Xenopus tropicalis: one gene and its partners. The protein of the gene in region 2 purifies or fractionates together with the protein of the main gene of each other region. This does not show direct contact. Links are inferred from orthologs where the notes say so. Each region holds a gene or a part of one and is shown on either strand. Other genes may lie near its edges. The genes, in order: abhd12, slc39a12 and nat14.

Region 1 (3,755 bases), on a different chromosome or scaffold from region 2:
AGATACCTGCCCCGGGAGGTGCTTAGTGTCACAACAAGGCTGGCCACAGCAAGAGCTTCCTCCCACTGCGGGTGACTTAGCCTTTGTTTCCCACTACTGGAGTGGGGGTTCATTTCTCACCTGCCTCCTAGCATTTAAAGGAATTGTTCATATTTAATTTAATTTTATGTATATTGTAGACAGTGCTATTTTAAAAGTTTTGGAATTTTAGCAGCTATATGATTGCTATGATACAAATTACCCTAGTAACCACTAGAATTTGAATAGGAGTGGGTCTAAATGGTAATAAAAAGTAATGATAGCTTAAAAAAAAAAATAGTTTTTATGACTGTTGGGGTCAGCGACCCCCTTTTAAAAGCTGGAAAGAGTAAGAAAAGGAAAGCAAATAATTCAAAAATGATAAAAAATGAAAACCAATTGAAAAGTTTTAGAATTGGCCATTCTGTAACATATTAAAAGCTTACTTAAAGGTGATCCCCCATTTCCCACTGTGCATGTGTGATGATGTCACAAAAGCCAAACCCAACAAAGTTTTGCACCCAGCATCCCCTGGCACCTCAGCAGTTTAGGTTGACAGCTCTGTATATATGAAATAATTCATAGGACTAAAGGTGGCCATACACTGTAAGATCCATTTGTTTGGCAAGGTTGCCAAGCAAGCGGATCTTCTCCTGATATGCCCACCTATGGGTTGGTGAAATCCGGCTAATTCGATTGTTTGGCCAACTGATTGAATCAAAACGGTGGGCATAGGAACCTTTGTTCTTGAATGTGGTCCCCAGTCCGAATGAAAGATTAAGCCTGCCCGATGGAGATCTGGCTGATTTCAGGCCAGATGTCGGTGAGGACCGTTTGTGGTGCCCATACACCGGCAGATACACTAAAGGATCAGTCTAAAGGACCAATATTGGCAGGTGAAATCTGCCTGTGTATGGCCACCTTAAGGCACATAGGTTAGGTTTAAGGATTTTACTGCCTGTGGTTTTGATATTCTTAAACTAGCCATACACACTAGATCTTGTTTGGGGAGGTTGCCAGATGTGTGAATCTCAGCTCAATTTGGTAACCTACAAACTGGACCAAATCAAACTTATCCAGTCAGAGGGACTGAGGGAACATGCAGTAGTAAGCTCTTTGGCCACATGTCTTTATATGGGCACTGAACAATTCACTGATGAATAATTAACGTATGCCATAATGTTATTTCCCTTGTAGATTGGCCAATGTGTTACCCAGTAAAATAAGGATATCACGCAAAGGTTTCTAGTTAATGCTGAACTACAACTCCCAGCATCCCTGGCTATACTGGCTGCTCCTATTTTCCCTGTGTTTAGTGCAACAATCAGTGCCTGGGGATACCGGTCCTGAACGGCTGGCTCGTCTGTGTGGTGGAAGCGAAGCATCAGTAGCAGCCCCTGCTCCAGTTCCCATGCACATTTCCTCCCTGCCTCTCTCATGCTATTGGTCGCTGGCGGCAGGAGGTCACAGTGTAGGGGGCGGGCCCTGGCGATCAGCTGTAAGGGGAGGGGGAGCGGGGGAACAGCAGCAGCAGTTTGGTTCCTGGAGCTGCCGCAGCCTGTCAGCCGTGCCCCCTTTACCTGCCCAGGGATGAGAAAGAGAGCCGAGCCGGTGCCCCCGGAACATGAGAGCTTCGGCAGGGCCCCACTGGACAGGGAGTGCAGTATAAAGCAGAAACTGAGAATCCCTGGGACAAAGGGGCATTATCCACACGATTCCGACTGCGACAGCAAGGGCATGAAGAGGTTCGGCAGGTACTGAATGGGCAAGGGCTGGCATGCATTCAGGGATGTGCTACATGGCGATTTATAGGCATCTATATTGGCAAGAGCAGAGGGGTTTGTGTGCGTTTGTTGGATCCTAAAACAATACATGGCATCTATGCCCTCCAAGCCATCACCTTTCCCTCTCCTGCCTAGCTTGCCACTCATTTCCTAGTGATTGGCTTTGCCAGCCTAGCAGTATTCCCCAGATGTATTTCACTGTATATTCCTACTGAAGGTTGTGAGCTGCTGGTGCTGCTGCCTGTGTGCAACTCCTATGCATTGCCTTCTTTCTCATTTCCCTGCAATGAAGCCTGGTCACTGCCAGAAATGTGTTTAACTTACGATTCAAAACATTGTCCGGGCATTTACCAGGGGCAACAATTCTCCCTGTCTGCCATTGCCTGTAAGTGTAGGGGCTCATGCAGAGATTTCAGTATGAGGCCCTGAAATACTGCTTCCAGGATGCTTGAGATTGTAGTTCAATTGGAGCTGCTGGACCCCTGGCTGGAAATCCCTTGTGTAACAGTATAGTCCTGCTGAGCAGCCCCCTTGTGTTCTAAATGCTGTTTATATGCACCTGCTGACAGTCAGAGGATATTATGTTTGGCTGTGTATCCCTGAGTTTGCTTTGTTTAATTTAGTGTTAGACTGTTCCTTTGGGTAAAGGCTCTGTGCCATCCATTTCTCAGCTCAAATAACTGCACATTTTGCTCTCTTGATAGTTCTGGCTGTTGTAGAATGGCACCATATGAAAAGCATGCAAATGGAATATTCTGTATGTAGTACTTAAAGGAACATCACTGTGTGCACTGAGCTTAGCTCAGTTATAGATGGAGCACAGTTCAGTGATGATGCAAGGCGACCCCAATACAACAGCTACACGTCAATATTGCCTCTAAGGTGCACCCAACCGCTATATTCAGCTGTTTCTATCGGTATATTGGGCATGTCAGCCTCTTGGAGCTTCAGACTCCTGCCAGACTGTTGGGGAGTTGCAATTTAAAGGGTCAGTAACACCAAAACAATGAAAAGCAATTGTATAAACATTTAATATATAAATTGCGTGTTTAATATATTTTTTAAGATTTAAATTACAAGATTTACAAGATTTAAAAACAAATCTAGTTTACTCACTGTACAGTTGCTTTATGGCCAACTGGACTGCCATTAATGTTTTATCTTAATGAAGATAGACAGGGGTTAGCTGGTATTCATAGCTATTTAGACTCCTATAGAGTGAAAACTTTTCCTGTATACAAATAGTAGTGCTGTTGCCATGAGATATGTAATCTGCTGGTGCTGAGCAAACAACCATTAAATATAAATCATTTTTATTGTCATTTTATGGTGTTTTTGTTTTTTTAAGAGCAATTGTTGGGTTGAAGGTTAGGCTATCTGGTGTGTATGTATTTTGTATTATATGGCTAGTCAGCTGTCATTTGTGTCCTTAGCTTGTAAAGGGCAGTGGCATATATTTATGTGCTGTGCTGATAAGATCCATTGGGAATGTAGGCAGTACCACCCTCAGTCTTATCTGCACTAAGAGGTATTGCAAGGACTTTTAAAGATGCGAAGCCCAGAACCCAGTTTCCTTCTACATCAGTTATCTGTTAACAATTAAAAAAATAATATTGTAAATAAAAAAGGCTTACAAACATGTGGACAGACCATGGGACCATAGAAATTAGTGGTGCATGGTTAGTTCTGAAACTTGTGGGAACTGCGGATTCAGGTCAGCATCCTAGGTATGGGGTATTTTGCAGGCCTCTTCCTTTTCACAGCATCCCCTTTCCACCCCAACCCTCTATATTGACGAAGCTACCAGAAAGCCCAACTCTCTATGACATATGATGTCATCAGAGGCAGAAGTAAGACATGGGTTCTGAAGAGGTTTACCACCTTTTCTGCAAAAAATACCGGCCTTCCTAGATTTTTATGTTTTTTCCTATTTATAACATTGGCATCAAGCAT
Region 2 (3,655 bases):
TTTTTCAATTTGGATCTTTTAATAAATTCCTAGGCATTTGTGGTTTTAGTGGAAACTAGTTTATGTGTGGTTTCAAATAAAATCAGAATGTTGATAAAGAGGCCTCCCCAACTGCTGTAATTGACTGATACTTCTGATACTATTAGACTAAGCTTCTAACTAGACATCATTATTTTATCTATTTGGGTCATTCATTCTAATGTGGTGACAGTATTTATTTCCCCTCTCTTTGTGTATATATTAACCAGCTCAGCTAAGTAGGAATTATTTCAGTGAGGGGTGCAACCTGATGGACGTTGCGCTTTTTCATCTCAGATACTATGTTATTGGATTAAATAGAAATCTCATTGCTGTGGCTCCCCTGGATTGAGTTAGAGAGAGAAAAGTTGGGACCCTCATGAATTTTCTCCCAAGGGGGTTGGGAGCCAGATCACTTATCCCCCCGTCCAACCTTTCCCCAAGTAGTTTCCAACCTAACCCTCCACAGTTCTCCAGTACGCATTAGCTGAAACCTCCTGTACAAACCACTTAAGTGTTAACTAGTGATGAGCAAATCTGTCCCGTTTCACTTCGCCGAAAAATTTGCGAAATGGTCTAAAATCTGCAAAATGTGTTTGTTGCATAACTTTTTTGTCGCCGCGTCTATTTTTGCAGTGAACGCAACTTTTTTTGATGCAAGACGAATTTTCCTGCTGCTAATTTTCAGGGAAGTTTTGCAAAACAATCCGCCAATGACGAAATGCGGATATTCACTGCGAAGCAATCCCTGGTGAAAAAATTTGCTCATCACTAGTGTAACCCTACACAGCGAACAGTAAGGAAGAGAGAATGCTCAGGTTGTATATTTAAACATACTGTGCAGGCCCAAATGTTCCATATTTTCATTGTGAAATGAGAAAAATGTGATACTCTATATCACTTGTTACCAATGCATTGTCATGTTACATGGATACTGTAAGCTGAAAAATCAATAAACAAGAAATATACAAAATAAAAATCTCATTGAGAAATTCCATGTAGAATGGCATTTGCCTATTTTTATTTAGCAAAAACGGTGACATCTAATTTGGAGTCCAATAAAAAGAAGCATACACACTCATCAAGCTCAAAATAATGCTCTGTTACAGTAAGTCTTTAGTAGAGTTCTGTACCATAATGAGTAGCACTGGTAGGAGTTTTGGGTATGGGTGTGGAAAAGACTGGTACTATTTCTGAAATACATCCCTACTGAATGAAGACTAAATATTGCCTCCAGCAGGTAACTGCAATTTCCATTTTTTAGGTACTTGGTGTACATGAAGTTGTCACCCATGAACATCATATGCAACAAGGAGACTACATTTTTGAAGAGAATGAATATTTGTGGAAAATAATGGGGATGATTGGAGGAATTTATGGATTTTTCCTGATTAACAAGCTTTTTTTCCTTCTTGTTTCATCTCCAAAGCAGGTAAACATTTCTGTCAATCTGGAACATGCCAATAGGTTTTACATTTACATATAAGGATAGAATAATACAAACTCTTTTTACCAAGGCGATCCAAATTCCTGCTTGCTGTAACTGGTAATGACACGCAAGGCCTTGAAAACACGATTTGGTAATATGCTTTAGAATTAAACATTTCTGTACTAAATTTAAACTTATTATTATTATTATTATTATTATTATTATTATTATTATTATTATTATTATTATTATCAATACTACTACTACTACTACTACTAATAATAATAATAATAATAAACACACGTGGGGGAAATTTATCAACATTAGTTTTTTTTTATGATTCAAGTTTTTAGGGCTAAAACATTTAGGGCTCAAAAACTTGAATATCTGATATGACATGATATGTATATATATCCCAAAAGGGAAAGTTGCGCTCAACCAATAAATTTTAAACCATTAGGTGGGGTATAGTATATTGAAGCAGTAGAATGAATTAAACAATCCCTGTTTTGCTTAATGGGGAGGACATTTCTTGGTAATGCACAGAATGTCTTAATGTCCTATATATATTGATAATGGGTGAGTGCAGAGGATCTCTTGTTTTAATGCTTATACATGTTGCCTGTGTGTTGTTGTCTATATGTATTTTGTGGTCACAACCTCATTGCACCCCCGCCTAAAGGTATAAAATTTAGTGGTTGAGCACAACTTTCCCTTTGTTGCTATAGTTTATACAGGAGCAGTGGCCAGCTCCATATTGTAGCTCCCTCCCTGCCCAGCCACAGTCAGGTGATCCCAGTGGAGCCAATAAAAGGGCAACCATTTGGGGGTTTTAACCTTTGTTAAATGTATATTAAAGCAGTAGAATTATTAATGAATCAGATAAGTCAGTGTAGGGCTGGCCTGAGGGAATGACTTTGATGTAGTTGGCCAGCTTGAAGTATATTGCAATATATGGAATTTCTTGGTAGCATAATGCACAGAATGTCTTCATGTCCCATATATATCAATAATGGGTGAGTGCAGAGGATCTCTTATTTTTATGCTTATACATGTTGTCTGTGAAAAAACTAAGCAATGCTTATTTGCCTAAGGCCTAAGACAACAGCCTTAAAGGAGGCAGCATGCGTATAGTTTTAATCGATACTGAGAGACATTTCAATCATTAATCTAACTACATTTTTATTCTCTGAACACACTTTTTTTTATCTCATACTCTCTTCTTCCTTTAGATTGTAAACCTACAGGGTATTCTTTACCTTTGTTTTTCTTATTTGTAGGGTCTGTCATTAATGAATGGACACTTGACACATTCACATGATCTACCACTGGATGCTCATTTAGGAGATCAATCAAGGAAAGCAAAATCTAGCTCTACCATTCAGCTGGTATGTTTCTTATTCTAATAGCCTGTATTCCCTAATAACCTGTATTCCCTATATTTCCTTCAAAAAGTTGAATTTTTCCCATTAAAATGATTGCTTTTTATTTTCCTTAATTATTAAAACTAAGCCACCAGCCCAGGAGACCAAAGCCACCCATTTGCCCAACTCCCTGTGTGGTGCCTTGAGACTGTTCTGTCCACCACTAGAGAAAAGTTTATAAATCTACAATGTATTGTTTGCTATTAGTTCCAGTAAATACTGCTTTCCCTTGGTGCCATTTGGTGCCAGTGAGTTACAGGAGAAAGTCTTTATGGTGCAGAGACAAAGTCAGGGTGCAATATACACCTGATATCAACATATACATAGGGTTAATTTTGAAATGGCATTCTGCCTATCTTTTTGCAAAAAGCCCCTATAGTTTTGGTTATATTTTGCACCAACCAAATTGGAATGGAAGTTCAAGACTTTAACATTACAGATGATCCCACCCTTTTTTCTTGATAGCAACTGTGAGAAGTTATATAATCAATCACTTAGAACAACACCCCCCTGTACTAAACTACATTTCTCACATTTTCTCCACTAGCATCATCTATTCCAATAAAGGAAACCATGTGCCATAAACCTAATAGCAGCAACGAGGAAAAGAAAGAGCTCTTTTAAACAGAGCTTATTATAGCTTTTATATTGACATTGTTTATGTCAAAGGGAGGGAAGACTAGCAGTAAGGGTAAAAACAAACAATAATCGTTAACATTTTAATGCTGAGAATGTATTTAAAATTTATAGATTTTTTTTTATTAAAAAGGATAGAGCGCAATAT
Region 3 (3,755 bases), on a different chromosome or scaffold from region 2:
ACAGTAGCGGGGCGTATTCTCGGCAAGCGTTTTTCGGCTTGCTGAGAATACACCACGTCTGACATCAGCCTAAAGTGGTGGTTTTGGCATATGGCTCCAACCTTTGTTTCAGGCACCTACGCACGTTCACATTCCCCCCGCCACAAACCCACCCTCCCTGTGGCTGAATTTACTGAGCTGCCGGTGGGAAACGTGACAGCAGGGGAATAAACAAACTCTTTTTTGTTTTGTTTTTTTATAATTTTTGAATTATTTGCATTCTTCTTCTGGCTGTGACCCCATAGCCCAACTATTGCTATTCAGGTGCTTTCCTATTTATATTTAAGTCTCTCATTCAAACCACTGACTGGTTGCTAGGTAAATTAGAATGGTAGAAACCAGATAGCTGCTAAAATTCCAGACTGGAGAACTGTACAACATGATAAATAATATGAAAACACAAATAATAAATAATGAAGACCAATTGCAAATTGTCTCAGAATATCACTCTCTACATCATATTAAAAGTTTAATTAAAGGTGAACAACCCCTTTAATAGTTTTGGTAACACTGAGGACAAAATTTGTTGGCCAACTTAATAAGTACTCTTTTTTGCTTTTTGAATACACTTATGGTATGCAAAGAATTCTTTATACTGATATTTACCTTCAACATTTCCAGTACCACGGGTGCTTCCTCCTCTCGCATCTCCCGCACAGACAGCTGGTTCTCATCAATAAAGGGCATGGTTAGGGCTTTTCCAAGTAGGTGCTCTTTAAAGAAATGTAAGCAAAGGTGGTTTGTTCTTGGCAAAAAAATGTGTTAAATGAGCAACAAGTTAAATACAATTGTCACATGATTAGATCACAAAGTAATAACTAACTAAGGACTTAAATGAAAGTCTAGTGTAGTCCCAAAATAGATACGGAGTATCCAGAAGCTGCCAATATGGGATGCAAGTAGTCCTGGCTCCCCAAAAAAGCTGTCAGTGTGTATAACCAAATTGCCCAGAGTGCAGACTAACCATACTTTGCCTTGGGATGATTTTACTGGCCAGGAATATACACGGGTATGTATTGTGGCTCTCCTGCTTTTGCCTGCCTGTAAGTAAAAAAAAAAAAAAGGGGAAATACGCTGTGTGTGGCTCACCATAATGCCATTGAATGAGTATCACTTAAGAAAGGGAAAGGCCACATTTTCTTGCAGAAGTCACCAAAATGTCAAGTGCAATAGGAATGGGAAACCCCATTCACAGCCAGATATAAGTAAACTACAGCTCCAAATATGCTTTTGACATTTGCACAGGTATGGGGTCAGTTATCCAGAAACCCATTATCCAGAAAGTTACGAATTATGGAAGGACCATCTCCCATAGACTGCATTATAAGCAAATAATTTACATTTTTAAAAATGATTTTATTTTCTGTAATAATGAAACAGTACCTTGTACTTGATCCCAACTAAGATATAATTAATCCTTATTGGGGGCAGAACAGCCCTATTGGGTTTATTTAATGGTTAAATGATTCCCTTTTCTCTGTAATAATGAAACAGTACCTTGTACTTGATCCCAACTAAGATATATTTTATCCTTACTGGGGGTAGATCCAAATTATGAAAAGATCCCTTATCCAGGAAACCCCTGGTCCTGATCATTCTAGATAACAGGTTCCCACACCTGTTATTTCAGCAACATGCTATGGTGGGCCATAGGCAGGTCCGGACGAGGATTTAAAATAGGCCCTGGCAGCAGCCCACTATAAATAGTGACTGTCTATGGCATCTTACAGCAACAACTCTGGCATTTGCCAGAACCCACAGAATGCCAGTCCAGCTCTGGCCACATGTTGGGGGCTTTCTATGCTACTGAAACAGATAAAGCTACCAGTAAGGCTAAACCAGTCTGAACCAATCAAGACCCTCTGTGCCACTGTACCTTAAAATATCAAATTTAGGGTATATTCTTGGTGAGGGTTTAGAATAAAAAATCATTCTTTGATCTAAGAAGAAAAGCAGATGTGTAACCTGTAGTTTAAATTCCCTCATGGGATAGCCAGTAAAATATAAACTAAACTAAAATACATTGGTGTTGAGAGATAATCATGAGGATTGCTGCAGTATACTTACATTGCCCTCACCTCACACGCAAGGCTCTCAAAGTGTTAATTACATTAGCTAGAAGCAATATATACAGTACAACCCATGTGGAAAGAACCACAACCCACAATAATACACAATACAATGATACACGTGACTAGCGGTGTCTGGTTTACCTATGGGGGAGACCAGAAAGTAAAAGCATGATCTTTAATTCTGTGCCTCTTCCGAACTCACTCCCTGCAGGAAAGAGGGGGTTAACCATTGCACCCCAGGTCCCACAGGCCTTTGCTGGGGGGGAGACATGGATGGTGAATAACTGCATGCAGCTCATATGTACGGCTGTATCTTATGCACTGACCTTTCCTTTAATAGATTACAGCAGGCTTTGTCTCATCCAGCCAGGGACTCCATGATGCCAGTGGGTGAGGGGGAGGATCTGTCAGCTGAGAGCAGCTGCTGCTGGAGGAGGGGGTGTGTCCTATAGTAAATGCCTGCTGCTGGGCTGCCTGGGCTGGATAGATTCAGCCAGAGACTAATGGCAGGGCCAGCTGCTATAGCTCTTGTCTGACTGTCTGCAGCATATGTTTATCTATACTGTTCCACTGTATATAGTGACTCCCGCACACTGATACGATGACTCCAAGATATTTCCAGCAGTGGTGTAAACTGAGCTGTCCCCAGCAAAAATAACTGCAGGGAGGTCTGCTAATTAACCCACGTGCCTGCAAATCCCTAGTTGTGGGTGGGTCAAAAGATGTACAATATTGTAATAACTGATCTTTCAGCACCATAGGTTCTGCATCTCTTGTTTGCTGTAGGGAGTTAGGGTCCTAATGGGTGCTCATTGCACTCCTACAGCTTGTGTTATGGATTCCAAAACAATTAGTACTATGTAGAGCTTGATATTCTGAGACAAATTGCAACTGGTCTTCATTTTTAATTTTCTGTGGTTTTTGAATTATTTTGCTTTTTTGTTCAGCAGCTCTCCAGTTTGGAATTTCAGAAGGTATCTGGTTGCTAGGGTTCAAACTATCCTAGCAACCAGGCAGTGGTTTAAATGAAAAATTGGAATATGAATGGGAGAGGAGGTGAATAGAAAGATAAATCATATAAAGTAGCAATAACAATAAAATTGTAGTCTCACAGAGCAATAGTTTTTTGGCTGCTGGGGTCAGGGACCCCCACTTAAAAGCTGCAAAGAGTTAGTATAAGAAGGCCAAAAATTCAACAATTATAAGAAATAAAAAATGAAGACCAAATTAAAAGTTGCTAAGAATTGGCCGTTCTATAATATAGTTCACTTAAAGTGGACCTGTCACCCAGACATAAGACAAAATCATTTTTTTATTAACACATCCATACCCATTATAAAAGCATTTACAAATCCCAGCTGTCAGTCATATATTGCCTGCCTAAGGCATAGGGGTGGGGCAGACAGTTACTTTCACTTTCAGTTCAGAACTTCTTAGATGTTGCTGCCCTCCTCACATTCCCCCTCCCTCCTCACCATGTAATTGTATAACCAGTGCATGGACATCAGGTCCCCCCATACTGGAACACAAAAAAGATTTTGGCAGGATGCAATACCTGCTTTGATAACAGTGTCCACAAAATGGCCCCTGACTGCTTGCTGCAATTGGGAATTCCTAGGCTGAAGAAAATAAGATTAAAGTAAT

What was found.
Region 1: the proteins of slc39a12 (region 2) and abhd12 purify together in Homo sapiens (co-immunoprecipitation; 3 studies listed by BioGRID and IntAct, counting the BioPlex papers as one, with this or other methods). This does not show direct contact. The link is inferred for Xenopus tropicalis from reciprocal best matches to the Homo sapiens genes SLC39A12 and ABHD12.
Region 3: the proteins of slc39a12 (region 2) and nat14 purify together in Homo sapiens (co-immunoprecipitation; 3 studies listed by BioGRID and IntAct, counting the BioPlex papers as one, with this or other methods). This does not show direct contact. The link is inferred for Xenopus tropicalis from reciprocal best matches to the Homo sapiens genes SLC39A12 and NAT14.

What each region holds. Positions count from the first base shown.
Region 1 is NC_030681.2:38,948,178-38,951,932, forward strand, and holds the start of abhd12 (lysophosphatidylserine lipase ABHD12), read left to right. Parts: upstream 1-1,562; 5' UTR 1,563-1,608; coding exon 1,609-1,772; intron 1,773-3,755.
Region 2 is NC_030682.2:28,280,869-28,284,523, reverse strand, and holds part of slc39a12 (zinc transporter ZIP12), read left to right. Parts: intron 1-1,282; coding exon 1,283-1,450; intron 1,451-2,727; coding exon 2,728-2,835; intron 2,836-3,655. UniProt on the Homo sapiens protein: Uniporter that promotes Zn(2+) import from the extracellular space to the cytoplasm across the cell membrane. The transport activity is temperature dependent. May play a role in neurulation and neurite extension.
Region 3 is NC_030683.2:103,669,757-103,673,511, reverse strand, and holds the start of nat14 (N-acetyltransferase 14), read right to left. Parts: upstream 2,724-3,755; 5' UTR 2,438-2,723; intron 2,422-2,437; exon of another isoform or gene 2,253-2,421; intron 1,081-2,252; exon of another isoform or gene 1,004-1,080; intron 753-1,003; 5' UTR 727-752; coding exon 646-726; intron 1-645. UniProt on the Homo sapiens protein: Probable acetyltransferase. May act as a transcription factor that regulates the expression of coproporphyrinogen oxidase by binding to a promoter regulatory element.